Alligator mississippiensis: one gene and its partners. The protein of the gene in region 2 purifies or fractionates together with the protein of the main gene of each other region. This does not show direct contact. Links are inferred from orthologs where the notes say so. Each region holds a gene or a part of one and is shown on either strand. Other genes may lie near its edges. The genes, in order: PPP1R9B, WDR48 and PHLPP2.

Region 1 (10,191 bases), on a different chromosome or scaffold from region 2:
AACCCTGTGGGAGGTGTGGGTAGTGGTTGCACCTAATCAGGGAGGGGACCAATGAGTGGAAAAGACACATTCCCCCACCCCGCCAACACACATCCACGCACACATACACATGGGATCTCCGTGGCGACAGAACCACTGTGCCTATTATTAATAATGCTGGTGAATAATTCATAAGAGCTGCCGTTTAGCTAAGCCCTTTCATGAGAACGCCCCCCTGGGCTCTTGACAAACTGATTTGCAAACAGTGGGGTTCAATTCTCACTCCTTCCTCACACCAGAGTAAATCACAGGCTTTGAAAGAGTACCCCTGGACTTACCTCCGCACAAGATTAAGCTCTCCTTGTGGGGCTTCCCCTGCAGTGGGTGGGCTGCCACCTCTGGGGTTGAGCACAGCGGCTGGCAGTTTGGGTCAGGAAGTGAAGAAGTATCCTGCATCTAAGTACAACCAAAATGAGGAAGAACATGCAGAAGTGATGAATGAGCCAGGTTTGTCTTTGGGGTGATTCTCCTGACTGTCACCGGCTCATGTTGAGGGTGAATTTGGCATACTTGCTTTAGAAGCAATGATGTCAATGTGACAGGAAGTGGAGAGTTGTTTGAGCTGGTGACTGCAAATGTGGACTCCTGGGTTCCATTTCAGCCCCTCTGAGAGCATGGTGTGTCTGCCTGCCTGACTCATCTGTTTTACTTGCCCCTTTCATCTCTTCTGTTCCTCTACACCATGACACCTGGGTGTGTCTCTGATCAATGCCTACAGGCATCAGAGGGAAAGCAAGTGCCTACTTTGCAGGCTGAATCTGGCTGCATCGTGGATCTCTGTAGCCTGCACAACACATTCAGGTTCTTCTGAACCCCAGCTGTCCCTCCTGGCTGCAAAATGCACTGAGTGGTGCCTCCTGCCTGAGTCTGCAGACAGCCTGAAACGAGGAAACCAAGATGCCATCTTCCTTGCCCTCTCTCCACTGTAGGGCTTGCATAGTCCTGACCTGATACCTTGGCCCAGGAAATGAGTTCAGCCTGGGCTGATGCTGTTTCAACAGGGAGAGCAGGGAGATGGGCACAGCTGTGGTTCACATAACACCATGCTCCATTTAGCTGCAAGAGATATTAGATTTTCTCTCTCCTGTCCTGTCTGTCTCATGCCCTGCAGCAGCACCTGGCAGACTGGCATTGGTGTATGTCACTGATTTGGTATCACTAGCTCCTTAAAGCCTGGGGTGCAGATCAATACTCATATCACCCCCACAGTCCCAAGTCCTGCCGTGTCCCTTGTTGGTCAGGCTTTGCATTGGTCTATATCCCTCCCAAGTTCGCTTTCCATAAGTGTCTGCAACTGGCTCTTGCCCCTTCTTATGGAGCAGCTGCAGAATGACCCCCATCAGGTCTGTGCTTGCCCCAGTGCAGAAAACTGTAGAGAGTCTTTTTCCTTCCAGTTCCTCCCAGCGCAGATGGCTTGAGGAGATGAGTCTGAACAGTGTGTTCTGCAAGCAATGTGGCGGATCTATCTGGCAGTTCCTCTCCTATTCTCATCTTAGTGGAAATACCAGTGCAGTCTTGACAAATAAACAGCGTGGTAGCAGGCTGCTGCATAGACCCGTGCATGGCTTCCCATGCAGGGAAGGGCATGAAAGGATGGGACCTCAATGACCAGTTGTGACTGGTGCTAAATATGTTCCAGGCCTGCTGAGCAGAGCCTTTATTTCCTCATTACAGATGAAAGTCTCCCATCCCCCAGGGGGTTTGCCTGACAAAATCAGGGTGGTCCATATGATTCAGCTATGGGTGATCGACGGCACCTGTTTGGGCAGGGCATGTACTAGGTGGCAGGTCAGAATGATGAAGGTGCTGGTAAGGACAGATGAGTGCTTTCTACAGGTCATGGTGAGTCTCAGCACAGGGGATGGAGCCCAGGGTGGGGGTAGCATAGGTCAGGGTTGGGGTGTATAGGCAGGACAGTACAGGCAACATCTGGGCTGTTGGGATGGGGGAGATACTGGGGCTTAGTGTTAGATGGACAGAACAGGCTACATCAGGATGCTGGTGCCTGGGAAGAGATGTAGAAAGACTAAAAATATACCTTGCAGGACAGCTCAGAGGAGATCACCTAACACTATCCTTTCCTCCCAGCCGTCCTGGCTCAGGCAGTGACCTCCAGAGCAAATCCAGGTCAGTACTTGAATGAGACCTACAAAGAGCCCTGCAGGATGTGCTAATAGTGATTCAATGCATTTCCTTCTGACTCAGTGCTGATTCAGTCCCCTAGCCTGGCCTTGTGCTGCTGGAGGTACCCTGTCTCACATGAGAGGTGGGCCTGCCTGCTTTGGGCTTGTTAACAAATTCCACTGCAGTTGGATGACAGCCAGGGTGTTCACCCCAATGTCCTAGAAAACTGTATTCTCTTGTCTCTAAAATTCTCCCTCTGGATTTTCAGCCTGGCAAGGCACACAGGTCTAGTGACCGCTGCGTTCCACCCCAGAGGTAGCTATATTAAAATAGCGGGTTACAACAATCCTGGGGCATAGTTTCATCTAAACCCATTGGTGAAATGCTTTGTGATCCTTTGAGGATTTTAATGAGTGATAAAATTTGGCTTGGAAATCCAGTCCCCCCTGGCTAAGAGCACGTTTCTAATTTTGACAATACGGAAAGACCACTTTCCAGTCACTTGGGCCAAACGATTGTTAATTGTTTGAATCTGCAGGAAAAAGCCCTGTATGAACCAGGGAACAGGTGAGCAAAGAGTTAGCAAAGACTGGGTGCTGGATAAGGTACTGCCTTGGCTCTTCAGAGATTAGGTTTCTGTTTCCACCTTTGCCACTGACTCCTCATGTGACCTTAGCCAAGTTCCTTGATCTCCGGGCCCCCATTTCCCACATCCAAAATGGAGACAATACGCCCCTACCCTCTTCCTTGGCTTTTTAGACTGTAAACTCTTTGGGGCAGGGATGGCTTCAGAGTGTGTGCAGATGCAGCGCAAGGCATGAGGAGGCCCTGCTTTTCAGACTGTACCACAATGCAAATAACGAGCAAGAATAACATAATGGGGTTTCCCATGAAAAAGTGTCATGTGCCTGTGACCTGACAGAAAAGCCCTGTACTTTGGGCCCTCAATAAGTCTTTGGGAGACCTCTGTCACTGCTTTGCCCTCTTGCTTCCCCTCTCTGCTCCCTCTTTCTTACTTGGGGCTCAGGACCCCCAGCATAGGGAAATGTGGGTCCTGCTCCCAGCTCAGCCAGCCCCTGTCACAGCCACTCTGCCAAATCTCTGGACCTCCATTTTCTCTTGCTCTATCAAGATTGTCAGCTCTTTGGGGTCCCCCTCATGCAACGTGTACAGAGCCTTGCACACTGGGACCGTGAGCATGATGATCACAGCCTTTAGGGGCTGCAAAGGATTAATCAACTGGGAATCCCTGACATGCGGTGATGGGCTCCCTGTGGGATTTCACCGTGTGCCTCTGCCTCTGGTTGTGCCCTGGCAAGGGTTAATGCTGAGGCTTGATGAGTCAGGTGAGAAGTGACAGTCGCTGCTCACTGGTACAGGAATCCCAGGTTGGCATAGGGCAGCATCCTGCGGCCGCTGGGACCCAAGCCCCTCAGCCGCACTCCCTGCTAGCTGCTAGCCCTCCCCAGCTGGCTCTGCAGCAGCTGTTGGGCTCAGGCTGGGGCAGGGCGGGCTGCGGGGGAGAAGAGGGAACTGTGCTGGTTCGCACACAAAAAGGCAGAAGATGCAGGAAGCAAGGTAGCAGAGGGGGAGCTTTTGTCGTGTGGCATCTGCAGGGTCCTGGTGCCCACTGACTGCTTGTGCCTGCGGCCTCTGGGGCAGGAGCAGACCTGGGGTTAGCTAGGACCCCTCATACATGTGCCCAAAGCTCAGGTTTTCCCAAGAGAGGAGTGAAATGGGGGAAGGGGGGGGGGCTCAAGTGGAGCCCCTGAAGTAGGCAAGCACTAGTGGGTGCTGGATTCCTCATGCTGGTACCTGAACACAGGGCTCCTTGCTCCCAGCCCTGTGCTCTAAGGGAGACGGGGTGGCGAGATGGGTAGCAGGGCATGGCAAAGAGGAGGATTGGATGTGCTCTGTGGCCAAGCCCTACAGCTTTACAGCCCTGCCCCCAGCCGAAGAAGGAGGTGCACCATGCAAATCAGGAGTTAACAACACACACTGACAGCAAGGTGTCATTGCCTCTGTTGGCGGGGAGGGAGAGGACAGTCACCAGGTGTCTGAGCAGCTGCTGAAATCATAGACCAGGTTCTTCACACTCAGGCACCTCTGGGCCCCAGGGGGCCGAGCCACCGCTCTGTCAGCACCTCGGCTAAGCAGGTTCCTTCCAGCCAGCTGCCCCCCTGCTCTCTCATTTGCCAAGGGAAGCAAGGCTGTGCAGCTCCTGCTGGTTTCAGTGCAGTTTGCCCCACTGAGAACCAGCCCCTCAGAGGCAGGGCATGTCATGGTCAAGGTTGCCAGAATCTGGAATGGGCTCCCAAGGGAGGTGGTGCTGGCCCCATTGTTGGGGGTCTTCAAGAGGAGACTGGACAGGCACCTGGCTGGGATCACATGACCCCAGGGTTGGTGACTCTTTTCTTGCCTGCCAGGGGCAGGGGGTTGGACTAGGTGGCCCACTGAGGTCCCTTCCGACTCTTTGAATCTGTGTCTCAGGGGCTGACTTCTGGCTGCCCAGGCTGATTGTGTTGCAAGAAAGCAGCTTGGGCAAGAAAGGTCCGGCCCAGACCCCCTTCTGACTCAGTGTTGCAGGCAGAGCCGACCCTAGGAGTGTACAGGGCCTGAGGCATATCAGCCTGTGGGGGGGGGAGGGGGGGGCAGGGTGGCGAGTGGCCGGAGCGCAGAGCCGGTGGTTTGTGGCATCCGTGCAGAATGGTGGCACCCTCGGCACGTGTCAGTGGCGCTGTCCACAGGGCCTGTACGGCACTGTCCACAGAGCCCCCCAAAAAGCAAGGTCTGGGGCAGTCACCCCAATTCACCCCTGCCCGAGGGACAGCTCTGGTCACAGGTCACTGGGTCATGGGAGAAGGAAGAATGCCCTGCTCACTCACCCAGACACGTGCCTCCAGCCGCAGACAGACCGAGCCCTTTGGCCCAAAGTTGGGGAAAGGGCATTAGGAGCTGGCGGGGGCAGGGGGAAGAACCCAAGGACTTGGCCCACTGAGGCAGGAAGAGCCTAACCCTTTGCCAAAGCCAGGAAGCTCGAGGGGGTTGGGTTACATTGTTTGTCAATTTTTTAAATAGTTCATGGGGGGGAGGGGGTGGAAGGCGGGGGCTGGACCTTCTTATGCCAGCCCCCTCCTGGCTTGGCTTGTGGTCAGTTAGTTCAGTGGACTAGTCTTTTTTGGGGGGGAGAGGGAAGGGTGTCGCCTTGCAACTGAATTTCCTTTCTCACTTGCCAAAGAAGGGGGAGGAAGTAGAGAGGAAAGAGGATTTGGTTTCTCTAAGACCCAGAGGAATCCACGCCAGGGCGGTAGGCTGTGCAGATTGCAGAAGGGTTAGAGCATTCGGTCTCCATCACCAGCCATTCAGGCGCAGAAAGAGACAGAAAGGGGGAGGAAGAAGAGAAGGATAGAGAGACAGGAGGGGCAAGGGATCTCCACACCTGGCCGGACATGGCCAGAACTGAGCCACCCCCTTAGGAGATCCCGCAGTCTGGTCCCAGCCTCTGGCAGCTGAGTGGTGGACCAGTTTTGCCTTCTCCCATCCCCTCTCCCCCCCACCCGCATTTCCCTTTCACAATGCGAGCCGCTGTATTGTAGACAGACAGCACAGCCTAGCCCCTGCCTACAGCCGAGGGGTTCTGGTGATGTGAGTCCACTGCAGCAGGAGATAGAGAGAGAAAGAGCCAGACAGACAGAAGAGGCAGAGCGAGGCTATGTGGTGTAGGCGACAGGCAAAGCCTCCTCGGTGAACCATGATGAAGACTGAGCCTCACTCCTCCAGCCCCAGCAGCAGCAGCAACAGCAGCAGCCTGAGAAGCTCCTCGCCTCACAGGAACGCCTACGAAGCTGGAATACAGGGCCTCAAAGCCACGGAGGATGCCCTTGGCGCCGAGAGCGAGGAAGCCAAGAAGGCCAGGAACAAGAAGTATGGCTCCAACGTCCACCGGATCAAGAACATGTTCCTGCAGATGGGGACCACTCCGGTGAGTGAAGGGGCTTGCGACCTGGCCAAGGTGAAGGAGAAGCCTGTCAGGCTGTCCTTGCCCCGGGCCAGCAGCCTAAACGAGAATGTAGACCACAGTGCACTGCTGAAGCTGGGGACCAGCGTGTCGGAGAGGGTGAGCCGCTTCGACTCCAAGCCTGACAAGCCATTCTCCAAACTCCAGGAGACCCGGAAGATCTTCGAGAGGAGCCTCCAGGAGAAGGAGACCACCAACAAACTCCTGCTGAGGAAGGAGAGGGCTGGCTTCCAGGACAGGAAGCTGGATGTGGTGGTGAGGTTCAATGGTAGCACTGAGTCCCTGGACAAGCTGGACACGGAGGCCGTGTCGCCCACTGTGAGCCAGCTTAGCGCTGTTTTCGAGAAGGCCGACCTGAGGAACAACCTGCACAAAACGTCTGGCAAAGTTGGGCCCCTCAACTCCAAAATTGTCAGCAAGAGGTCCCGGGTCTTTCTCCAGAGCCAGGAAGCGGGCAAGGCAGACCCCAGGGTTGGCGATGGGCCTTCACTGCAGGCAAGAGTCAGGCAGCTCGAGAGTGAGAAGGCGCAAGCCAAGCCAGCTGCAGGGGGCCAGGGTGCACCCCGGGTGGGTGACAAGGACGGGGCAGGTCCACGTTCCCAGAGTGTCCAGGAGGTGAGGAAGATCAAGCCGGTGGAGGTGGAGGAGAGCGGGGACTCAGAACAGGAGGCCGAGGTGGTCGAGCGGGCAGAGGAGGTGGCTTTTGAGCAGGACAAAATCAAGGGTACTGATGGGCAGACACCGGGGCCCGACCTCAGGGCAGAGGTGATCCAGGCTGAGGTGATGGTGCACGCAGCCTTGGAAAATGGCAGCCTGGCTGCAGAGAAACATTTGGAGGCCCCGGAGGTGGCTGCTTTTGCCGAGGAGGTGGGCAAGGCCGAGGGGCAAGAGGAGGCCGACCTGGGCGACGAGTCCAAGAAGGAGGACTTCTCGGAGGCTGACTTGGTGGACATTAGTGCCTACAGCGGGCTGGGGGAGGACTCGGGTGGGAGCGGGCTGGATGAGGACGAGGAAGCCGATGGCCTGTATGAGCCGGAGTCAAGCTGCTTGGAGATCCCGGGACTCTCAGAGGAGGAGGAGCCGGCGCCCAACCGCAAAATCCACTTCAGCACAGCGCCCATCCAGGTAAGGGGGCAGGTGCCATGGCACCACCCCAGGGGGAGGGCAGCGCAGGGCACTGCAGCCAACAGGATCTGCCCTGCATTGGCACGTGGTGCTATGGAGGGGACGAAGTCCCGGGTAAGGGGGTGATTCTCGTTTTAGGGCCTTTAGGGAGGAAATGACAGAGCTGGGAATAGAACCCAGGCATTCTCAGCTCTGCGCCTCCCTGCTTCCCAGCCACCTGGGTGTCCCCTAGCCAGCACCCCAACTCATCCCAGAGGCTCACAGGGCGATCCCAGGATGCTCTGCTTCCCCTGCCCACCCCAGTTGGCCATCTGCCCAGGGACTGGTGTTCTCAGTGCTTCCCCCCCACAGGCCATTTGTTGGCAAGCGCCATTGAAACGCAGCAATTCTGGGTTGTGGGGGCTGGTAGCATCCAGGCAGGATGCAACAGAATAGAGGCCGAAGAAATGTCGGTCAGGAACGGCAGAGCTAGGAGAAGGGTCGGGGGCTGCCGAGGTCTAGGCAGGGCAGGCACGGCCTTGAGGAAGGTCTGGTTTCCCTGCCACCTCCACACCACTGTGATAATCCGAGTCAGCCCTTCAGGTCGAGGTGACCCCGGTGAGTTGAAGAATGGGGAGCCTGAGGTTGTGGGTCGTAAAGCCATTCCCTATAATAGGAGCCAGCAGAGTCCTCCTGCCCCTTCTCCTGTGCAGGTAGAACCTAGCCCAAAGTTGGAAACCACCGAATATTGACCCCGTGCATCCCAGGGTGTGGGGCAGCTCCTCGTTCAGAGCCAACGAGGCCATCCTCTGGCATTTCAGACCGATCAGTGTAGTGTGAATGTCTGTGTGTGCAGGCCCGCGTGGAGGGCTCTGGATGGGGCATGTGACTTCCTGAATGGTGGCGGGGACGGGGAGGGGGGGCCCTCAGTGGCACGGGCTAGAGAGCATCATGGAGACTAGAAGGCTGTTCCCTGGTCCTCTTCTGCCTCCCAGCTGGGTGCCTGTTTTTTCTCCAGGCTGGACAGCCTTAGTAGGAGGAAGAAGGCTTGCAGCTACGGGGAAGGCTAAGGGGAGGCATCTGCTATCCAAGACAAAGTCAGGGGGTGTCTCGCCACTTCTTCCTAAGCCTGATTCTCCACACACGTCTCCTCAGCGCCTTTGGGTGTCCCTGAGAACTGGCCATGCTCACCCCAATGCCAGACTGCAGTGCCAGGCTTCTATCTGCTGTGACCCCCTGAGCTACACCAGGGATAGCTTTTGGCCTGGGGTATTTGATGTACTGTGGCTGAATAGTTAAAGGGAATGGAGGCCAGATGTCCTTGCATCAGTCTCTTCCCAGCCCCCCTTGGCAGAGAGTGGTGTGGACTAGGATGCAGGCTCTGTCATTCTGCGTGTGATCACTGATTTGCCAGTGATCCCAGCTGAGCCTCAGATCCAGGTCAGACCCCTGATTCATGGAGTGGGGGAAGGCAAGGGAAGTGACTTCCTTCCAGACGGGGTGCTCCTGCTCCCCTCCTCCTCAAGTGGATGTGGAGTCCAATAGAGTCACTAAAACATTGAGGGCTGGCGCACCCCACTGAAGGGCATCAGGGCAGGCATCTCACTTGGGGCAGGAGAGGCTACTAAAGCAGAGTGCTGGGTTTCACTGCCCGCTCTGCCCCTGCTAAACTGGGTGGTTGAGGGAGTCCTTGCTGACACAGCCAAGTGTGGGCAACCAGGCTAACTGAGCTCCTCCTGGGTTCACTGGCTGCCTGCAAATGCTTGGGCAGCAGGCACTGTGGAGCAGAGGATGTACAGCCATCAGCCTGGCAGCTTGAGGTCATCCAAGGGTGCCAAGGGGAGCAGGGACCTGATGGGGTCCCTGCAGTGACCTAGCAGGGGATGGGTGTTTGGTACTGGTCAGCTTCTGATCTGTAAGCCACTGGCTTGTCTTGGCTTGGTGGTGAGCACTTCCTCATGGTAACCCCCTCTTCTTCCCTGACATGAGCTGTCCCAGTGTCTGGGTTAGTTCTCCTGGTAAAACCCCTTCTCTTGGGGCTGAGCTGTCTCAGCACAACAGTGGTAAGCCCTAGCTTAGACCTGGACACTGGTGGGCTGGGACATGCATGTGCACAGTGAGAACTGGACATTCCCCACTCAAGACCCCATGCTTGCTCGAAGCTTCATGATACAGCCGTGGCAGCATGGGGAATCACAGAATCCTAGAAAATTAGGGTTGGAAGCGACATCAGGAGGTCATCTAGTCCAACCCCTGCTCAAAGCAGGGCCAGCCCCAACTGGATCATCCCAGCCAAGGCTTTTTCTAGCCAAGTCTTAAAAACTTCTAAGGTTGGAGATCCCACAACCTCTCTGGGTAACCTTGTCCAGTGCTTTACTATCCTCCTAGTGAAAAAGCTTTTTTTAGTATCTAACATAAACTCCCTTGCTGCACCTTGAGACCATTGCTTCTTGTTCTGGCATCTGCCACCACTGAGAACAGTTTAGCTCCATCCTCTCTGGAACTGCCCTTCAGGTAATTGAGGGCAGACCCCCCTTCAACTATCTTTAAATCCCTCCTCAGTCTTCTCTTCTCCAGACTAAATAATCACAGAATCATAGAAAGAAGGACCAGAAGGGACCTGTAAGATCTTCAAGTCCGGTCCCCTGCCATGGGCAGGAGGTAAGGGGCTCAACTGAGCTCAACGAGGTACTTGTACAGCCTCTTCTTGAACACTGCCAGGGTTGGCAGCTGCACCACCTCTGCTGGAAGTGTGTTCCAGTTTATGGTCATCCATACGGAAAAGACATTTTTCCATATGTCTAGCCTAAACGTTTCCCTGACTAGCTTGTGCTCATTGGTCCCTATCCTCCCAGGGAGTGCTTTTCTGAAAAGTTGCTCTCCCAGATCCTGGTGTTCTCCCTTGA
Region 2 (10,614 bases):
TAACCTCCTCTTGAAGACCCCCAGGGCAGGGGAGAGCACCACCTCCTTTGGGAGCCCGTTCCAGACCTTGGCCACTCGAACTGTGAAGAAGTTCTTCCTAATGTCCAACCTAAATCTGCTCTCTGCTAGCTTGTGGCCATTATTCCTTGTAACCCCTGGGGGTGCCTTGGTGAATAAATACTCACCAATTCCCTTCTGTGCCCCCGTGATGAACTTATAGGCAGCCACAAGGTCGCCTCTCAACCTTCTCTTGCGGAGGCTGAAAAGATCCAGTTTCTCTAGTCTCTCCTCGTAGGGCTTGGTCTGCAGGCCCTTGACCATACGAGTTGCCCTTCTCTGGACCCTCTCCAGGTTATCCGCATCCTTCTTGAAGTGTGGCGCCCAGAATTGCATGCAGTACTCCAACTGCGGTCTGACCAGCGCCCGATAGAGGGGAAGTATCACCTCCTTGGACCTATTCGTCACACATATGCTGATGCACGATAAAGTGCCATTGGCTTTTCTGATGGCTTCGTCACACTGCCAACTCACGTTCATCTTGGAGTCCACTAGGACTCCAAGATCCCTTTCCACTTCTGTGCCACCCAGCAGGTCATTCCCTAGGCTGTAGGTGTGCTGGACATTTTTCCTCCCTAGGTGCAGCACTTTGCATTTCTCCTTGTTGAACTGCATCCTGTTGTTTTCTGCCCACTTGTCCAACCTGTCCAGGTCTGCCTGCAGCCGTTCCCTGCCCTCCGGCGTGTCCACTTCTCCCCATAGCTTTGTGTCATCTGCAAACTTGGACAGAGTACATTTCACTCCCTCGTCCAAGTCGCTGATGAAGACATTAAAGAGAATCGGTCCAAGGACCGAGCCCTGCGGGACCCCACTGCCCACACCCTTCCAGGTCGAGACCGACCCATCCACCACGACTCTTCGGGTGCGACCCTCTAGCCAATTCGCCACCCACCGGACTGTGTAGTCATCCACATCACAGCCTCTTAACTTGTTCACCAGTATGGGGTGGGATACTGTATCAAAGGCCTTCCTGAAGTCTAAGTATACAACATCCACCCCTCCTCCTGTGTCCAGGCGTTTTGTAACCTGGTCATAGAAAGAGACTAGGTTGGTCAGGCACGATCTGCCCGCCACAAACCCATGCTGGTTTCCCCTCAGCATAATTTGCCCTGCCGGGCTCTCACAAATGTGAACCTTGATAATTTTTTCAAAGACTTTACCAAGGATGGAGGTGAGACTGACCGGCCTATAGTTGCTCAGGTCCTCCTTCCTCCCCTTTTTGAAAATGGGGACCACGTTAGCCCTTTTCCAGTCTTCTGGGACTTGGCCTGTGCGCCACGAGCGTTCGAATATTCCCGCCAGTGGCTCTGCAATGACGTCGGCCAGTGCCTTCAGCACCCTCGGATGGAGCCCATCCGGGCCTGCAGACTTAAAGGCATCCAGTTCTTCCAAGTGACTCTGCACCATCTCAGGGTCTACGCATGGAAGTCTGGTGCCTTGCTGCTGCCTCTCTACAACCCCAGTGAGAGACTTGTCGTGCCCCTCGCTTAGGAACACTGAGGCAAAGAACTCGTTGAGGAGTTCAGCCTTGTCCCCCCTATCTGTCACCAATTGTTTCCACCCATTTAGCAGGGGTCCTATTCCTCCCTGGGCCTTCCTTTTACTCCCAATATATCTAAAAAACAATTTCTTGTTGTCCTTTACTCGGTTTGCCATCCTCAGCTCCATGGTAGCTTTGGCCCGCCTAACTGCCTCCCTACAAGCACGAGCAGAGGAGGTATATTCATCTTTAGTGATCCCACCCTGTTTCCACTTTTTATGTGCTCCCCTTTTGGCCCTTAGGCTGCCCTGGATTTCTCTGGTCAGCCAGGGAAGCCTCCTGGCCCCTTTCCCTCTTTTGCCTCGCTCGGGGATCGTCTTGCTTTGTGCCCGAAGGATCGTTTCCTTTAGGCACAGCCACCCTTCTTGGGCTCCCATCCCATCAAAACTCCTACTCTGCAGTGCTTCCTTGACTAATCGCCTGAGTGCATTGAGATCAGCTTTGCTAAAGTCTAGCACTTTCACCCTACTAGTTACCTTACCCACTCTTATGTTGAATTCTATTATAAGGTGATCACTGTCTCCCAAATGGCTACCGATCTGGAGGTCCCCGATCATGTCATCTTCCGTTGCCAATACCAGATCCAGTATGGCATTCCCCCTAGTGGGACCATGCACCTCCTGTGTCAGGTGGAGGTCCTGTACACAGGTTAGAAACCTGCGTGAGCAATGGGACCTTGCTGTCTGCGTCTCCCAGCAGATGTCCGGGTAGTTTAGGTCCCCCATGACTACCGCCTCTTTAGCTTTTATGGTCTCCGAGAGTTGCCTCAGGAGCCCCGCATCTCTTTCTTCCCCTTGATGTGGGGGTCTGTGGCAGACCCCTACCACCAAATCCCTTTCTCCTTGCCCCCCATGTAGCCTAACCCACAATCCTTCTACTTCCTCAACCTCGGTTTCTGTCTTGATGAGGGTTGATGTATATTGCTCACTGACATAAAGTGCAACCCCCCCCCCCCCTTTCTTCCCCGACCTGTCCTTTCTATACAATCTATAGCCCTCAATATGTACCGCCCAGTTGTGGGATGAATCCCACCAGGTCTCTGTTAGCCCCACCAAGTCATAGGTGCAACCCCCCCCCTTTCTTCATCAGAATCTACTTGCTGGATGTCACATGAAATGTTTTATGAGAACAGCAAGCCAGAAGCAAACAGAAATAATTTAACACAAACTGCAGGGTCAAAAGACACAAAGGGAGAGGACAAAAGAGTGGTTTGTATGAAATCTCTGCTAAGGAGGGTGCATGAGAAACAAGCCCATAAGTAAAAGCATCTTAAAACTGAGGAAGTGAAGGGGTGGGGGCGGAAATCAATGTAGGAGATAATGGAAATCATTAAAAAAAAATAACACATGCAGGTTTCCCTCGCTTTATGCTGTACACGCGTTCCTGGAAAACAGCGCACAGCCTGAATTGACACAACGGGAACCCACATTACAACGCAACAACTAGGGATATGATCCAAGACCTCGACTGCGCTGACCCCGCAGACCCACTCCTACCACTTCCGCAAGACAATTTGGGTACTCGCCAACAGCAAAAAAACCACGCGCACAAGCATGGGGGTGGCGCGTGGTACCATAACAGAGACGGCAACCATAGAAACACGTGCTGCAGACAACGAGCGAGGAGCACCGATCCGATCCGATCTGATCCGCACGGGAGACTGTGTTTCGGTGCGGGTCACTCCTGCCACACGAAGCAGCGCACTGCAGGCTTCCCCGCACCGATCGTGTAACAGCTGATTGACCTCGCGTAGGGCAAAGGTTCGGTATAAAAATGGGTCCTTGCCCAGGAGCGAATCCGCGTGGACAAAACCCACGCAAGACTTCGAGTCCAGTGCGACAAGGCTGCACGAGCATCCTAAGGGGAAGGACGCTGCCACCCCAGGACTTTCCGATGCCCGGTGAGAGACGGTCGCTGTGTCTGCCCCCCCCTCCCGCCACAGACACACGCGCACAGCACGGCCTGTGCAACCGAGCAGGCTTCACGCCGTTATCGCCCCGGCGGCCACGAGCCGCAGGCAGCCGTTGGCACAGGCGGGGCGGGGCCCCGGGCACGTGCGGGGTGGGGCCCACGGCGGCGGTTGGTGACGGTTGGGGGAAGCGCTCTCCCCCTCCTCCCCCCCAACAGCTCGGAGCCCCCCGCCCGGCCTGGCCCCGCCCCGCCGGCCCCCGCCGGCCCCCGCCGCCTCACCTGCACTTTCCGCCGACCCGCCGTGTTCTGTCGGTGATGCGCCGCCATCTTGCATGTTGACACTCTGAGGTCATTTCCGAGCAGGGCCCGGAAGTTCCGCCCCCCCTCCTTCCGCCACCCGCCGCCGTTCGCGGTTGCTAGGGGAGCGGTGCGGAAGGGGCGGGGCCGCGGTTCTTTCCCGCGCGCGCCGTGGAGGGTTTGGGCTACTCGCTTTTCCGCAGGCAACTCGCGCTATTGTGGGTGTTGGGAGCTCCGTCCCTTGGCTCCTCGGGGCAGCAGTGGGGCGGCTCTGGGCTGCGGGGGTGTAGCTGTGTCCCCGTCAGGACAGGAGCAGACGTGGCTCTTGGCATAAATCCGGTGTCTTTGATGAGGCCGACTCCCATAGTTGGACAAATTCTTCTTAGCAAGCTTTCGGGCCCCCGTGCCTTTTTGTGCTCGTGCCCGAAAGCTTGCTCTCAAGAACTTTTTCTCCAGCTGTTGGAGTCGGTCTAATCGCAGATATCGGATTTACCCCCAGGACCGCGTCGGCTGAGGTGATGGGTGAATTTGGGGGCTCTGCTCCCCCCCCTCCCCCCGCCAGTGCTGTGCAGAGGGGGCGGGGGTGAGGGTGCCAGGATACCGGGGGCGCCCGCCTGGCGGGTCGGGGTGCTGGTGTGACAGAAGGTGTAAGCGGGCTCCTTCTTCCCGCTTCTTTTTTTAGAGCTCACCTTGATGCAATTGCAAGCAATGATTGAGACGGGTTTCGGGTTAGACTTCTATCAAAGCTGTACACTAAGACAAATGCAATATAATACTCCAAATCGGGCACCTTGGCCTAAATAAAAAGATTTTAGACTGGGATTATGGGGCAAAACCTGCTTCAGGTCAAAACAAATGTCTGCCTCTGGGGGACTCCCGGCTGGGAGCTGCCTGACCCAAAACAGATTTTGCCCTATAATGCCAGCCTCATCTTTTTATTGTTATTATTATTCGGGGCAATGTACTTGATAGGCGATATTATATTACACTTGGATTTGTCAATGTTTGTTGTTGATGGAATTGTAGCTCGTTAGCAGATCTAATTCATTGCTCACAACCTTTAATTGGGTAAAGATTCATTTTGAAAATGGAACCAGGCATCGAGACCTGGGCATTAGCAGCCTGTTTCAGCCTCGTGTCACCCCAGCCGCGGCTCGGCCTCCCGGCGCCCTGACCAGCAAGGGGTGTTACACTGGTTGTTAATGGAGGGTGAGAGGAGTTTATTTGACTAGTGAGACCGTTCCAGTCACAACTCAAATGCTTTATTGGACTATGTACTAGCAAAGACTTGCACTGTATCAATAAAGACAATGTTTGTGTAGCCTTGAATTCAGGGAAGAACCTGGCCCGCTGGCCAGGCTTTTCTGTTCCCCTGGGGACTTCAGTTGGTTCACTGAGCTTTGGAGAAGTCTGAAGTTTTTTTTAGCTTATGCCAATGTTTACAATTGGCTGGGTTTCATATTCCAATAAATGGTCTCTGACCGGTTTTATTTTAATTTCCTTGTTTCATTGAAGTTGTTAGAATGGACGGAACTAGATCTCCTGTCAGCACAGAAAGGCTTGGGAAAGTAAAGAGGGAGGGCTTCGTGTTTCCTTTTCCTGTTACTGTACTTCTTTGCTCTAATTTATGGTCTTCTCTAGCAAGGCTGCTTTGTTTCTACAGATAATCTACGGAAAAAAAAAACATCTATTATAGCAAAAAAACATTGAATACATGTGGTCACACACTCCTAATGTTTTAAGATAAAGCCATAATATAGTGCATTGTTTCATTAAGGTTTGGTAGCACATGCCATCAGCGTGTCTGGCTAAGCTAGTTGTTGCATCCACAGCGATTCACACTGCAGTCACTCAGGCATGAGCTTCTGCTGCTTAGCCAGTGCAGCTCGCACTGCTCCGCAGGCCAAGTGTAGGCATATAGGGCGTCTTTACACATGCTCCAGGGTAGATGGTGTGGTGCTTTACTGAGAACTGCTTTACATAAAGCATCTCTAGCATTACATGTATTCAGTGTCCCAGTCTTCAAAATGGTGGTGGAAGCGCTTTAACTAAAGCCCGTTCGATCAGCTTTAGTTCAAGTGCCTCTGCCACCATTTTTAAGTGTGGGGACGCTGAATACACGTGGAGTGGAGGCTGCTAGAGCGTGCTGGTTGGAAAAGCAAAGTCCCTGAATTCTCCCGTGACCTCGAGTCGGCATTGCCGGTGCCACAGCCCAGGCCCCACTGTGGTGCCCTGAGACTTTCTGGGGCAAGAGAGAACAGCAAATTGTGATGGCCCCATGCCTTTTTTTGAGGACCATTACACAATGCCATTCTGGTTTGATCCCTGGGAAATTCAGCAAACCGTTATAGCCCATCCCCTCACTTTATATCTCAGTTTCTTCAGCTCTAAACTGGGAATAATACCTGCCTCCCTGAGTAGCACAGAGCAAGGACACTTCTGTTTTGAAACGTGACTCCAGTGATTTCAGACTACATGCACTTGTCTCTGTGGTTTCATATAAAAAGCTTTGTGTTTTCTATTTTCTCGTCTCCCCGGGCATCTACGCATGAGCACGGGGGCTGCTCCAACGCGCTGGATGTCCGCTGTGTCAGAGCAGACTCGATTCATTGAGTCTGTTGGAGTGTGACAATTGCTGTGCCTCTCGTGTATCATGCTTAAAAATGATGGTGGAGGTGCTTGAATGAGCTTCAGTTCAAGTGCCCCCGCTGCCATGTTGATAGAGTAGACGCGGCAGCGCTTTGAGATGCTCTGATCAAAGCACCGCCACCCCCATCCCCAGAGCACGTGTAAAAGTGCCCCGGATTCAGCCAGCGCTTCCAGGCAAGAAGGCCTCCAGTGCCTCTTCATGCACCAGCCATGTAGCAGCGGTTTTGCAGGAAATAAATGGGTCCTCTGTCATCTCTGTGAAACTCCCTTGTCTTGCATGCCGATTCGGGCCTAACGGACTGGAATTTGGGAAACAAGCCTCTGGATGTGCCGAGATACGATATCATCCACGGCTGAGTCGTGCCTAGCTGTATCGCCTATTCACTCCCATTTACTCGTAATGGCAGTAAAGAGTGATTCTTGTCACGGGCCCACGGGAGAAACACTCGAGAGGAAGCTCTGGCTCGGCAGAATGTTCTGGAGGCAAGTGGGGGGAAGGGTGGAATGTTCTGGAAGAAGGCGGGGGAGGGGTGGAATGTTCTGGAAGAAGGCGGGGGAGGGGTGGAATGTTCTGGTGGTGGGGGGAGGGGTGGAATGTTCTGGAAGAAGGCAGGGGAGGGGTGGAAAGTTCTGGAGGTGGGGGGAAGGGGGGAATGTTCTGGATGCAGGCGGGGAGGGGGAGGGGTGGAGTGTTCTGGAGGCAGGCAGGGGGAGGGGTGGAGGCAGTGACAGTTGGGGTCCCTGTGAGGAGACGGCAGGTGCAGGTCCCTCGTGGAGGGAGCTGGTCAGTGTGACAGAGGGGAGGGACCCAGGGAGATTTCCGCAGGCATTGTTGGGAGGACTGGACGGTAGGCAGACGGTACGGCGTGGGTTTGTGTCAGTGTTGTTTCACTGTACCCTTGGCAAAGCATTTGATCACTTTTTTTTTTTTTTTTCCAATTACCGTTGTTCTTCCTGGTCACAAGCCCTTTTGTGTTTTCCAGGAAAGTGCCTAGTGTTTTTGTTTTTTCTTCCCCGGCCTTCCCGCACCGTGAGTTTGCCCACAAGTGGACTGTACCAAGCCAGCAAAGCCTTACATTGGCGTAAACGTTTGCTTGCTGGGGTATGTTTGTTCACATGGGGAAACTGGATAAAGCGGGGCAGCGTGCATGGGGCAGCGTGCATCGCTCAGAAGTGGCGCTCCCACCGCCGGCCAGGCTCGGAGCAGCACAGGATCGCCACTGCTGCAGACCCGGGGGAGGCCCCCAGCTAAGGTAAGGCTGCCAGGGTCAGCACAGTGCTGGCCCAGCCTCCCCTACCCCATGTGGGGTAACATGCCACACACTGTGGGGACAATTAGCTGCAGCACAAGTTGTCCTGTTCTGTGTCACAGTTCTGAACATATAGGGAACAGATGCCATGGCTGAGAAATGGTCATTTTACAGTCATTTTTCTGAATAAAACTGTACATGCACGCACGCACGCACATGCACCCCCCCCCCCAGCAATTTGAAAACAGGAAGGGTTTGAATGATTAAAGGGCATATGTAATGACATGAAATGTCAGCAAGAGGATTTCTGTGGATTCTCCTTCTTACCTTGTGTTTCTTCCGTCTGTCCCTTTTGTTTCCTTTGCTCATACTTTGACTTATCCTTTGGGGCTCACATCTGATTTGCGCTGTCAACTATGTTTGCAGAGCTCTAAAATAACGTTGCATGGTTCCTTCCTCTATTAGAAGGCAGGGTATTTTCACCATATAGACTAACCAAAGTAGGGATACGGACAGAGCACAAGCTTTTGTGATCTGAAGCTCAATTCATCAGAGATTATATGAAAGGATGTGCAGAAAGCCACGTTTAAGGAGAGGGAAAATGAGAATACAAAAGACAAGGGAGGGGGGAGAGAGAGAGAGAAGTGGGGAGGGGGACAGTGCTGGGAGAGACAAGCAAACAACCAGTAAACCCATAGGAACACAGGAGTCACCAAAGCTAACCCAGGCAGTGGGATATATCTACTTTGGTTAGTTTATAAGGCGCACATCTACCTCACCTTCTACCTGACTTCAGACACACAGCTAATTATGTTTTTCCGTCCTGTGTATCGGGTCATCCTGGCAGTTCCTTCCATCCGTCTGTCTTCTGCAGCATTGACCATCCTGTTGGAACATGAACATGTTGGAATATGATGTATACACATTTGTGAGGTGCCAAACTTTTTTTTTAATTCCTTCCATAAATCTGAACATTAAGGAAGTTGTTTGCTGCTTTTAGCCATGTTTGGGCACTGCAAAAACCCAGATGTGTACAGAAGGCTTCGAATGTGTCGACTCCGTGTTATATTTCGTAGACTTTGGTTGTCCCAGGTTGCATGGCCTGCCAGGTCTTCTGAACAATTGAATAAAAGATGCAGGTGACTGTAGGGTTCTGATGCTGGTGGGTTCTGCAGCAATATCTCTGCTTGCTGAGGGTCTCTTGCCAAAGGTATATGGGAAGAGACCCTCAGCTAGCAGAGATATTACTGCAGAACCCACCAGCATCAGTGCAAAGGTATATGGCAAGAGTGTACAGAAGTATCCAGGAGGGAGAGGAGGGGGAACAGGGCAGGGGAGAACCCTGTTTAAGGTATCTTGTAGACACATAGATTAGAACTCCGCTTGGAATAAAAAAGCTTTTAAGAGACCTGGCAAATCTTTGCAGCCCCTACTTGCTGCACTGATATCTCTAAGGCCTCCAGTGTGAGCCCAAGAATGCAAATGAGATATAAGCCCAGCTTGCACCTACTTCGAGTGTGCCCAAACCCATAAATTAAACAGCATACACAGCTGAGGAGCAGTCCTGAGCATGGAGTCCATAAATACAGATCACTCTTGGTTCTAGCATTCCTGGTTATGCCACGGTTTTATTGTTAATGGAGCATCACGATTCTTAAAGAGCAGGCTTCCCTGACCTGATCTCACCCCAGCTTCTTCCAGAAATTTGAAACTTCAGCTACTTTACAATGTTTTTTGTTAGCAGTTAGAAGCATATCTTAAGAGCTAAGGTTGTTGAGAAGAGAATTCAAAAGCTATGTCATTTTGTTTAATGTATTTGATATTGTGCAGGCATAATTTAAGGTAGTTTTTATTAGAATTCAATTTTCTATTGGCTTCACATTAAGACTATCTAGCTACCAAAGAGTCATAGATGCTTTCACAAGTGCAATATGTTGCTTTATCAGAACCTAAAGTGAGGAAGAATGGAGCACAATGGAGTCCTCTACTTAGGCAAGTACTGACCAAATTGGCTCTTTACATTTCAGCATGCATTAGTCCATTAAAAAGTTGGAGATTTCTTTTTGTAACTTAGTGGTTTCCCTGTATACTTATAAATCATTTCCTGTTATTGTGTCTTTTAAAACACATTGAAATGTTTATGTGACTATAATTCCTTTTGTGGTATCTTCTGATAAAATGAAATAACCCTTTATGTTATAGTAGGTTTGATGTTTTTATAGCTGTGATGCTCCAGGATGCAAAGTTTTTTTGTGATATCCTTTATTGGACCAACTCCCAATAGTTGGGAGGACAGTGTAGTTCAACAAGTTTTCAGGCATCAGGTGTCCTACCTCAGGTCCTGATGCCCGAAAACTTGTCTAGCAGCTCTCCCAACTATACAGCTGGTCCAATAACAAATATCATAAAAAGCCTTGCCTTTTAACATAATCCTTTATAATTCCTAATCACCAACAGATTGTTTTAATTAACAAACCAAACTCTAGGGTGTGCCCCAGCACAACTGAACCAATTTGTCAGCAAAAACAGATATCACTGTTGTCTCATGGGGTCGAACCCCTGTGGCTCCCAGGACTTTCGGGACCTGATTCTGTGGGATGATGATTCTGAGTGTCTGGCCCTCGCCCAAGATTCAGAAGCTTAAAAGCATATCTTGGAATCCCTTGCTGGGGATTCCTGGGACTCACATGCAGAGCCATCCCTATGGGTGTGTAGGGCCCGGGGCTTATCAGCCTGTGTGGGGCCTGGGGTGGGGGGAGGCCAGAGCCGGTAGGGCTCGGCAGTACCGATGCGTGGCAGCCATGGCAGGGCCTGTACAGGACTGTCCATGGGGCCTCCCAAAGCATGGGACCAGGGCGGTCACCCCAGTTCACACCCCCTAGGGACAGCCCTGCTTGCATTTCATTTTGT
Region 3 (9,797 bases), on a different chromosome or scaffold from region 2:
CTGTAGCCAACACCTGATGCTTCTGAAGAACGCTTAAAAACACCCAGACACATGTAGCAGCAGGAAGGGGAAAAAAATCCCTCTTGAACCCATGTAGCAACCAGCAAAGCCCAGAAGCCTAGAAAATCCCCATAGTAGAAAATAAGCCTTGCTACGCCTAGATTATTCCTGACCAGCGTCTGTCCAACCTTCTTGAACACCTCCAGTGACGGAGAGTCCGCAGCTTCCCTGGGTGTCTGTTCCACTGCCTCCCTGCTCTAGCAGTGACTGAGTTTTTCCTAACGAAATATCGGGTTGCCCTGCTGCCCTGTCAAGAGTGGGCTGACCATAAGGTGGCAAGGTTGGACAAGGTGCTGTTGCATGGTTTTTGGTGTTGCTTGCAGCTAGGACTGGGCAGGAACCTGGCAGCAGCAAGTGCCTTATGATTGAAGCTACATGTGGGCTAAACGTGGAAAGGGTCATGGGTAGGCTGAATTTATCTGCAGGTTTTGGCTGTTCTACCTGAACATTAGGCTTGAAGGTGCACTGCTGAACTGCCTGCCCCAGTCTTATTTAAAACGGCACTGTCTGAGCCCCTGCATTTCATTCATCCTTGCAGCATCTGTGTGAGATCCGTAAGGATTATTCCCGTTTTGCAGATTAGGAATTGTGGTACAAGAGAGGATATGTAACTTGCCTAAAGTCACCCAGGGAGTCTGAAGAAGAACACTTGTTTTCTGTACCTGGAGTCCAGTGTCCTGCACACCAGACAATTTCCCACCCCCTCTACTCTGGTCTGAGGCACGTAGATAAGATTTCATAGACATCAGGGCTGGAAGGGACCTCGGAAGATCATCGAGTCCAGCCCCCTGCCCAAAGGGCAGGAAGTCAGCTGGGGTCATAGGATCCCAGCAAGATAAGCATCCAGTTTGGTCTTGAAGGTGTTCAGTGTAGGTGCTTGAACCACCTCCGGTGGCAGGCTGTTCCAGACCTTGGGGGCTCGGACAGTAAAGAAATTCTTATGTCCAGCCTGAAACGGTCTTGTAGTAGTTTATGACTGTTCGACCTCATCATCCCTTGGGGCGCTCTGGTGAACAAACGTTCCCCCAGATACTGGTGGTCACCCCTGATAAACTTGTAGGTGGCCATCAGATCACCCCTGAGCCTGCGCTTTTCCAGGCTAAAGAGCCCCAGAGCTCTCAGCCTGTCATCGTAGGGTCTGCTTCCCTGAGCTCTGATCATGCACGTGGCTCTTCTCTGGACTCTCTCAAGCTTCTCCACATCCTTTTTGAATTGTGGAGCCCAAAACTAGACGCAGTACTCCAGCTGCGGCCTCACCAAGGCCGAGTACAAGGGGAGAATGACGTCCCGGGATTTGCTTGAGAAGCATCTATGGATGCAAGCCAGCGTTTTGGTCGCTTTACTAGCCGCAGCATCGCATTGCAGGCTCATGTTCATCTTGTGGTCAATGATGACCCCAAGTCTTTCTTCCGTAGTGCTAGCCAACATAGCACTGCCGAGCCTATAAGGATGCTGCGGGTTTTTCTTCCCAAGGTGGAGAACCTTGCATTTATCGGCGTTGAACACTGTCAGATTCTCATCCGCCCACTTGCTGAGTCTGTCCAGGTCAGCCTGGATCACCAGCCTGTCTTCTGGTGTGGATGCTTTGCCCCAAAGTTTGGTGTCATCGGCGAACTTGACCAGTTCGCTTCTGACTCCAGTGTCCACATCATTAATGAAGATGTTGAACAGTATGGGTCCAAGGACAGAGCCTTGGGGGACCCCACTGGTCACAGGACACCACGATGAGTGACTTGCATTAATTACACATAAATGTGTTAGATGCCTGATGAAATGGCATAACTGTACTGTTTCTGAAAGGTCTTTTCCCCTTCTCTTCAGACATTCCAGCTGCAGCTCCTGTCTCCTAGCAGCAGTGTCATCCCAGCATTTAACTCGGGGACCATCACACAAGTCATCAAAGTCCTGAACCCACAGAAGGTGAGCAGAGTTGGCAGAAGGAATTCCTTATGTTTGTTTGAGCATCTGTGGTGTCTGGTATTGACTGATTTGGAACAGAGTCCTGTTTTTTCTCTGGGTGGAACAGGTTGGCTGGTGATGGGGAGTCGCAGGTACTGTGGTTATGGTTAGGAAAGGGCTTTGAAAAAAATCCAGTGGCCCACCCATTGATTCAGCCAATGGTAAAAGGAACAGGGGTCTCTTCCCCAGCAGCCTGGTTAATAAAGCATCTACAAGTGGAACTTTATTTAAGGGTGGCCCACATGGGAAGAAAGTGAGCATTGGCTTTGTGCAGTTTGTGTAAAGCAGGCCTGAATGCAGGGCACCGTTTTCACATCAACTTTGCCAAAACTGGTTGTCTCTGCTGTTTGCTGGAGCATTTTTGTAGTCTCTGATGTAGTTTTGGAATTTTCTTTTGATTTTTCTGTCTCTGATCAAGACAGCTGTTCTCTGAAGTGGCCAGAGTGTTTAGGAACAATAAAGAAACAAATTAAGTAGTTTTAAAGTTTGAGTAAAGGTCCCTATCCCTCTTGGCTGCTAGGACCTTGGTCTCTTGTGATAACAGAATTATGCTAATTCAGTAGTGCCTCACAGAGGCTTCCAGAATAATTGACACTAAAAAAATTCCTTCATGTGGAGAACAAGCCACCCCTTTTTCTTTCTCTTTTTTTTTTTTTAGACAACCCAACCTCCTGAGGCCCTCAGAGCTACCCTAGAGCAGCAAAGTCTTGAGGCTTGGTAGACTTGGGTCCCAGGAGGGTGTGTTGGGCAGAAGGGAGGGCACTCAGGGGTTTCTCAAGGGCTCCAAGATCAGGAAGTGACTTTGTGTTTGAGAAAAGCAGGTGATACCAACCCCCTGGAGTGGAGCCCGGCAGAGGGAGGCTCAGGCCTGAAGCAAACACCCTATAATGGGTGTGCCTGCTGGCAGAACAGGTGGGGCTAACACCATGCCCATGCCTCCTACAGAAACGTTGGATCATGTGTGCTGGGGAAGAAGGGGAAATTCAGTTGGGAGTGTGGGGTGGCAGAGCTGATCTCTTTCTCTCTCCTCCTGCAGCAACAGCTCCGTATGAGGATCAAGTTGACATATAATCACAAGGGCTCTGCGATGCAGGATCTAGCCGAAGTCAACAACTTCCCCCCGCAGTCCTGGCAGTGAGGCTCTGGCGTCGTTCTTACTCTCACCCCACCCAATCAAAGGAACTCTGGGAAGAAGGTTGTGATCCCTGGCAATCCCCCAAACTGCACCATGGGCACGGGGAGCAGAGAGACCTGCTGATGTGGAGGGGTTTCCCTGATCGACTGCTGACTCTGAAGCATATCTGCTAAGACTAATCTCCTCCCCTCCACTGATGAGGCTGGCTGCTTGTGGGGGCTACTCTGCACTCCCTCACACATGCATTCACAGCCGGAAACAACATTCCCCTTCTCCCCCCAAAAACACAGCCTGTTTGGAAGAGAGGACTGGAATTCCTTGCAGGGAAGCTCTCCCCCTCTCTCCCCTTCTCTCTCTCTCTCTGCAGCGAGTGAGCAGCTTCCCCTTCTTTCTGCTGCCTTCTCTCTGTGGGGTGGGTGAGGTGCATTTTGATTCATCACTAGCTGGGTAGACATCTTCAGGCACTTTCATCTGGGGTTCAGGTTGGAAACTCATCCAGAGGGTGTTAGGGAGCCATGCCTTTTTCTTTCATATCCCCTGTGCTGGAGGAGGCTGTCCACTCTTTGTGGCCAATTCTGTGCATTGCTGTATACACACACCCCACACACACACAACTTTAGTTGTATGATGATACCAAGGGCAAGTCACACCTTGGAAGTTCATCTGCAAAGCTGGGACTGCAGGAAGAGCGGTGCAGGTGAGAGATGAGCAGATGGTTGTAGTGCCGGAACTGAAACAAAGCCCTGGTGCACTTGGGTTTTCTTCGCTTTCCGTCGTCGGCTGCAGCTCTGCAAACTTGCGCAGGTGTTTCTGTAGCTGCCTCCTTGGAAAGCTTCACTATGGATGAGAGACTCTGAGCTCCACCCTTGGCTGACCCATCCCACACCCAAAGTTTCAGAACTTACTGTCCAGTCCTGTGGCTGTTGGCTGTGGTAGGTGGGTAGAAAAGAGATGTCGAGCTCTATTGCCCTTAAAGAAAAGGCCTTGCTGCCTGCTGGAAGACTCATCGTAGACTACACTGCAAAGTCCCATTTCCCAGCTACTTCAGATCCTTCCCTCCTTTAATTTCCAGAGCCTGTTAGACCCCTGGATTCCATTTGAGTTCGTTCTGACTGGGACATTTGTGTTGTATCTGTAACATTGGCACTGAAATAAAGACCATGCAGTTTAAAGAGACCTTTTCCCACTTTGTACTTAATTAAAGTATCTATCCCATGTTCGTCTTCAACCAGAGTAATTAAACAAGCTGTTCTTCATGTGGAAGCCTGTCTCTTGAGCAAGTGGGTCCAAAGGCCTGAGGTCTGGTGCCCTTCTCAGTCCTGGGCCATTCTTACAGCTCTTCTCGAGAAAGCATGTTGCTGCGCCACAGCCGGAGTGCGATGCCGTTCGGATGTCTGTTCCATGAGCCCTGCTGGAGACCGACTGGACGCCAGAGATGGGGGCACTTGGTGGCTCGCACCCTCCAGGAGCAGGGGAAGGAGAGGGGCACACTTTGGATCTTCATCCCTTGAGCCTGCTGATGTTGAGCACGCTCGTCTCCAGCTCTGCTGCTTTGAAGGAAATGGACTGCAAACCTGCGCTATTTCTCCTAGGCCCTGCCAGCGCCAAGCTTGCAGGGACCCGCCCTGCACACTCGGTCTCTGACCTCTTCCAGGACATAGACCTAGCACTGGACTGTGCCTGTTCCTGGAATGGTTTCCCTCCGCCTGCGCAAGTGCTTCGAGAGCAGGTTGTGCTGCTCTCCTCGAGACGGCTGGCAGAAGTGGCCCTGCTCGGCACGGGCTTGGGGAACGGCTGTCACCGTTTTGTTCAGACTGCTGGTCTCGGTGTGCCAGAAAATACAGCATAAACCCGGTGCGCTGTAGCTATGCTGGGTCTTTGCGGGCCGCGCCTGCCTGCCTGCCTGCCCGGCCGGCTGGCTCGCAGGGAGGGCTCGGGCTCGGGCTCAGCCACAGCCTGCAGCTCGGAGGAGGCTCCCTACGGCAGAGCTCGGCTGGAGCACGGACGAGGTGCGGCGAGCTGGCCCGGGCAGGTGCATCGGCAGCAGTGGAAACGCCGACGCAACCACCACGGGCGTCGGAGCTGGCCGTGCAGACAGCCCGCGCCTGGCACAGCTCTAGGCCAGCTCCAGCTCCTGCTCCTGCCTTGCTGCAGCCCGGGCGCAGCCTGCCCGGCCCCTTCCCGGAAGAGCAGTGGTGCCGGCGCACGAGGGCGGCGCGTGGAGGGCCGGCCCGCGCTCCCCCGCGGGGACGGATGCTCGCTGCCCTTCCCCGGGCCAGGCCCGTGGCCCGAGCAGCGCTGGGGGCTGCTCTCTGCCGCTCTGCGCCCGGCCCGGCCCGGCCCGGCAGCTCCCGCGGCGCCGTGTTCGTCGGGGCCGGGACGTCCCGCCAGGCGGGCCCTGCAGCAGCAGCAGCAGCAGAGCAGGCTGTTTGGCCGGCGCCCCGCGGAGCAGCGAGAGAGCCCGGCCGGGCGTGGGCGTGGGCGTGGGCGCGGCCCGGCCCGCGCGGGGGGTCTGCGGGCAGAAGGCGAGGGGGAGCGGACTGCTGTCTGACCGCCGGAAGTGGGTAGCGCTTCCGGCCCGGCCGGTCCGGGTCGTGCATGCTAATGAGGCGACGGAGGCGGAGTCTAGGTGGGCTGCCGGGCGGTGGGCGTGGCCGGCACGCCAGCGAGCCCGTGGGCGGGGCCAGGCGGCGGAGCTGCTGCCGGTAGGCTACAGGGGTGGGCGGGGCCGGGTGACGCGCGTTCGCGCGGGGCGGGGCCGGGCCGGGCCGGCCGGGCCCATGGAGGCGGCGGAGCCGGACGAGGACGAGGCGGGCGGCCGGGCCGGGCCCCGCGCGGGCCCGCGCCTGCTCAAGGTGCGGGGGCCGGGGCGGTGGTCGCGGGGGCGGGGCGGGGCGGGGCGGGTCCTGTCCTGCGCCCCCCACCCCCTCGCGCGGCGGGAGCCCTTCCCCGCGCTGAGCGCCGCTCTCTCCGCAGAGGCCGGCGCGGCGCCGCGGGAGCCGGAGCCGGAGCTGGCGGTTCGGGTCGCGGGAGCGGAGCTGGCTGCGGGAGGACGCGGCGCGCGGCTGCGTGAGCATCCAGGGCGCGGAGCCCGCGGCCGCCCCGCGCCTCGTGCTGTGCAGCGCGCACACGGCCGCCGCCGAGCTCTGCCCGCCGGGACAGCGCCTCTACCTGCAGCTGCACGGAGACCTGCTCAGGTGAGCCCGCCCCGCCGCGGGACGGGGGCTCGGCTCTCCAGGGCTCGGCGGGAAGCGTGCGCGGGCCGGGCCGGCTCCCCTCCCCTCCCCTCCTCTCCGCGCGCAGACCTCTCTGGCGGGAGCCGAGCGGCAGCGGGGAAGGGGCCAGGCGAGCGCGTGTCCCCGCGCCTGGCACAGTGGGGCTGGGGTGCCTGGTGTCCGCGCCGTGCCGCGCCCCCGGGGTTGTCGTCTTGTGGCCGTCGCCTCCGGACCACGCTGTCCTGGCGCCGGAGAGGAGCCGCTTGAGTCCCTGCAGTCTCCCCGTGAATCACGAGGGTTTCGGCCACTGCCGGGTCCCTTGGTCGCCGCGTCTGACGGTCCCGCCGCGAGGCCCCTCGGTGCAGCGGCAGCTCCTTGCGAGAGGAAACGGCCGCAACTTCGGTGCCGTTGCGTCGCGTGCGCGCGCTGTCAGCCAGCAGCCGGGGGGGGAGCAGCTGCCGTGGCGGGGAGGCGGGGGCAGGTTCGCAGTGCTGCACCCCTCCAGCCTCTTCCTTGCGCCTGTGGGGCGGCAGCCGGCAGCTCTGTCTGGGCCGGGGACACCTCCTGTTTTGCCTGGGAAGGCTGTCCGGACTGGCACAGCGCTACCGCCCTTCACTTGGGACGCAGCTGGCCGATGCCGGAGCGGCGTGGAGCAGATGGAAGAGGCTGAGCTCTGTGGGGGGCTGGAGAGCGCAGAGGGTGCCAGGCCCTGGCTTGTGCCTCGTCGCAGCAGCCAGGCAGGGCTGGCAGGGAGCAAAGGGCCTAGGCCCCGGGGGAGTTTGTGGAGAGGCTGAGAGCAGAGGCCAGGCCGGCGTGGCTCCGCTCCGCACAGCTCTGGTGACGTGGGAACGGAACGTGCTCGACCACGTGTTTCCTTACAGCGGGTCGGAGGCCCTGCCGCGAGGTACGTGATGTTTGCAGCCGGGAGGGGCTGGAACTGGGAAAGCAGCAGCTCGGAGACGGGCTTGTGGGTCCCAGCGGGGAGCACCCTGCACGTGGGCTCCCAGCGGCATGGCGGCGAGAGGGCGCGGTTCTGTGGGGTGCGGGCGGGAAAGCCAGGCGGCCGTGCTGCCTCAGCAGGCAGGAACCACACGCCCTGTGCTGGCTGCCCTGTCAGCGCATCCGCAGGGACGTCTCCATGCTGGAGGATGCTCAGCGAAGAGCGGTGTGTGCTGCTTGGCTGTCTGGCAAACCTGCCTGCCCCCAAGACCTCCGTGCACTCGCAGGAGAGGGGGAAAGGCAACTTTCATCGTGGGCTGTCAATACCAGCAAGGGAAACGTCCGTTAAGTCAGGAGAAGAATATAGCAAGGAGCAGTCGTGGGCAAAGGAAGCTAAGGAAACTCGGAGTAGGAGCAAAGGGAAGGCTTTACTGGTGAGGCTGGCTTGCCTGTGGGAGCAGTTGCCAGAGGGGAGTCGTCCTGACTCCAAGTCCTGTTGCTGTGGCTGGCGTCAGTCTCTGGGCTACTCTGGCTTGGGCAGAAGCCGGGGCGGGCTGCCAGGATCGCTCAGTGAGTCTCTGGCCTTTGCAGTGCAGGAGACAAGAGGAGAGCAGGGCTCCGCTCTGGCTCCGTCTGCTGTCATCCTGTGTTCTGGGGAGGCTGCTGCGTCCCATCCCCGGCGATCCCGGCACTGCTCTGGCCACCTCCTGCAGCTACAGAGATGTGCTTCATTGGGGATGACTCTTGAGTGTCTTGTTCCAGGAGTGCCAGACCAGTGTGACCAGCATGCTCTCTGATCTGCTGTGCTCTCAGCTGCATTCGAAGGGGAGGCGGGGGGCAGTTTGCACTGCGTGGCTGGGGCTGACTTGGAACGGGCAGCGGGAGCTTCACTGGGTGCAGAGTGAGAGGTGCTGTGGGAAGCCCGCCTGGCATGCGACTGCCAAGGAGCATGTGTCTCATGTCTCAGGGATCAGGAGGGCAGCACCAAGTGTTCGCATGTCTTGTGGCAGGGAGCGTGGATCTAGGGGCCCTACCAGCATGGCCAAGGATGCCAGGCCCCTTCCACACTGTAGCAGGAGCGAGGGCCTGGGATTAGGGCCAGGCCTTGGCAAACTAATTTCCTTTCCTGCACTTCATCCCCAGACGGCTGGAGCCCACAGAGAAGCCCCTGCAGATCGTGTATGAGTACCTGGCCAGCCTCGGGTTCGAAGATCCCTTGAGGATACAGGAGGAGGCAGCAAACGCAGACCTCAGCTGTATGATCCGTTTTTACAATGGTAAGAATGTGTCTGGCATGTGCTGTCGTTCCGGGGGCCGGCGCTGGGACTGCGCCTGTGCAGCAGGCAGTGCAGCTGTATGCTAGAGCCTAGCCCATGCTCTTCTGCCCTGAGGAGAAGGAAGGAGGGTAACTAACCTCTTGCATACACGTGCTTCATCATGAGTCATGTGCACAGCTGGGGATGGTGAGAGCACTGGGCTATAGCAAAGGCAGCAATGGTATGGAAGCTGCTTCAGTGTATCACAACAAGTCCATTTGTTAGTGCCGGGGGGGAAAGGCAGAGCATGAGCAGCCGACATGGCTTTGCACTGATTACCCCAATCTCCTCCTATGCCAGAGTTACTACCTGGTGGAGGAAGGGAACACAGTGGGTGCGGTGTGCACGTCTGGGCTTCAGCAGGGCTTTTGACCAAGTCCCGCAAGATGGAGAACTGGCTGCATAACCACAAGTCAAGGGTAATAACAAATGGATCCATGTCAGAATGGCAAGAGGTTTTGAGGGGGAGTTTCCACAGGTTTGTCTGGAGTCCAGTGCTGTTTTGATGAGCCTGTCAGTGACCTGGGTGCTGCGGTGGAGAGCTTCCTGGGGAGATTTACAGGAGAAGGGGAACTGGGAGGCACTGTGAGCACGCTGGAAGACAGGAGCAGAATTCAGTAGGGTTTGATAGGTTGGAAATCCGAGCTCATGCTTGGAGCTGGGTAGGCCTCAGCTAGAGTCGTGTGCGCTGTTCTGTGCTCCACACTTCGAGGAGAATGTGGAGAAGTTAGGGTCTGGAGGAGGGTGCCATAGGTGATAAAGACTTGGAAGGCAGCTGCAAGGTGTAAGGTTGGGAAAACTAGGCACTTCTGGCTTGGAGGAAAGGTGACTGATGGGAGTCTTTAAATCTCTGGAGGGCTGGACTGCTGTAGGGAAGACAGAGCATGACCACTGTTCCTTGCTACACAGGGCAGGATGGTAGGTGCTAGCTTCAGACTGCAGCAGAGCTGGAAGCACTTGCTCACTGTAGCGCAGTGAGGCAGTGGTAGCGATGGAGGCCTTGGAGGCGGCTGGCTGAGCATGGTAGAGGAGGGTTGAGGAGCAGTATCTTGCATCCAGGCAGGGGGTGGACCAGATGGCCCCTGAGGTGCCCTTTAGTCCTGTGGTCCTGTGCCATGGGACAGGAGGGTCAGAGATGGCTCCTGGCTTTAGATCTAAGGGTCAGCTGGAGTG

What was found.
Region 1: the proteins of WDR48 (region 2) and PPP1R9B purify together in Homo sapiens (affinity purification with mass spectrometry; 3 studies listed by BioGRID and IntAct, with this or other methods). This does not show direct contact. The link is inferred for Alligator mississippiensis from reciprocal best matches to the Homo sapiens genes WDR48 and PPP1R9B.
Region 3: the proteins of WDR48 (region 2) and PHLPP2 purify together in Homo sapiens (affinity purification with mass spectrometry; 5 studies listed by BioGRID and IntAct, with this or other methods). This does not show direct contact. The link is inferred for Alligator mississippiensis from reciprocal best matches to the Homo sapiens genes WDR48 and PHLPP2.

The regions. Positions count from the first base shown.
Region 1 is NC_081827.1:169,682,818-169,693,008, reverse strand, and holds the start of PPP1R9B (neurabin-2), read left to right. Parts: upstream 1-5,354; 5' UTR 5,355-5,914; coding exon 5,915-7,306; intron 7,307-10,191. UniProt on the Homo sapiens protein: Seems to act as a scaffold protein in multiple signaling pathways. Modulates excitatory synaptic transmission and dendritic spine morphology. Binds to actin filaments (F-actin) and shows cross-linking activity. Binds along the sides of the F-actin.
Region 2 is NC_081828.1:209,182,347-209,192,960, reverse strand, and holds the start of WDR48 (WD repeat-containing protein 48), read right to left. Parts: upstream 3,885-10,614; 5' UTR 3,836-3,884; coding exon 3,788-3,835; intron 1-3,787. UniProt on the Homo sapiens protein: Regulator of deubiquitinating complexes, which acts as a strong activator of USP1, USP12 and USP46. Enhances the USP1-mediated deubiquitination of FANCD2; USP1 being almost inactive by itself.
Region 3 is NC_081833.1:77,616,089-77,625,885, forward strand, and holds the start of PHLPP2 (PH domain leucine-rich repeat-containing protein phosphatase 2), read left to right. Parts: upstream 1-5,930; 5' UTR 5,931-5,934; coding exon 5,935-6,009; intron 6,010-6,130; coding exon 6,131-6,351; intron 6,352-8,451; coding exon 8,452-8,585; intron 8,586-9,797. Other genes in the region: AP1G1 (AP-1 complex subunit gamma-1), read left to right, coding at 1,882-1,980, 3,056-3,157. UniProt on the Homo sapiens protein: Protein phosphatase involved in regulation of Akt and PKC signaling.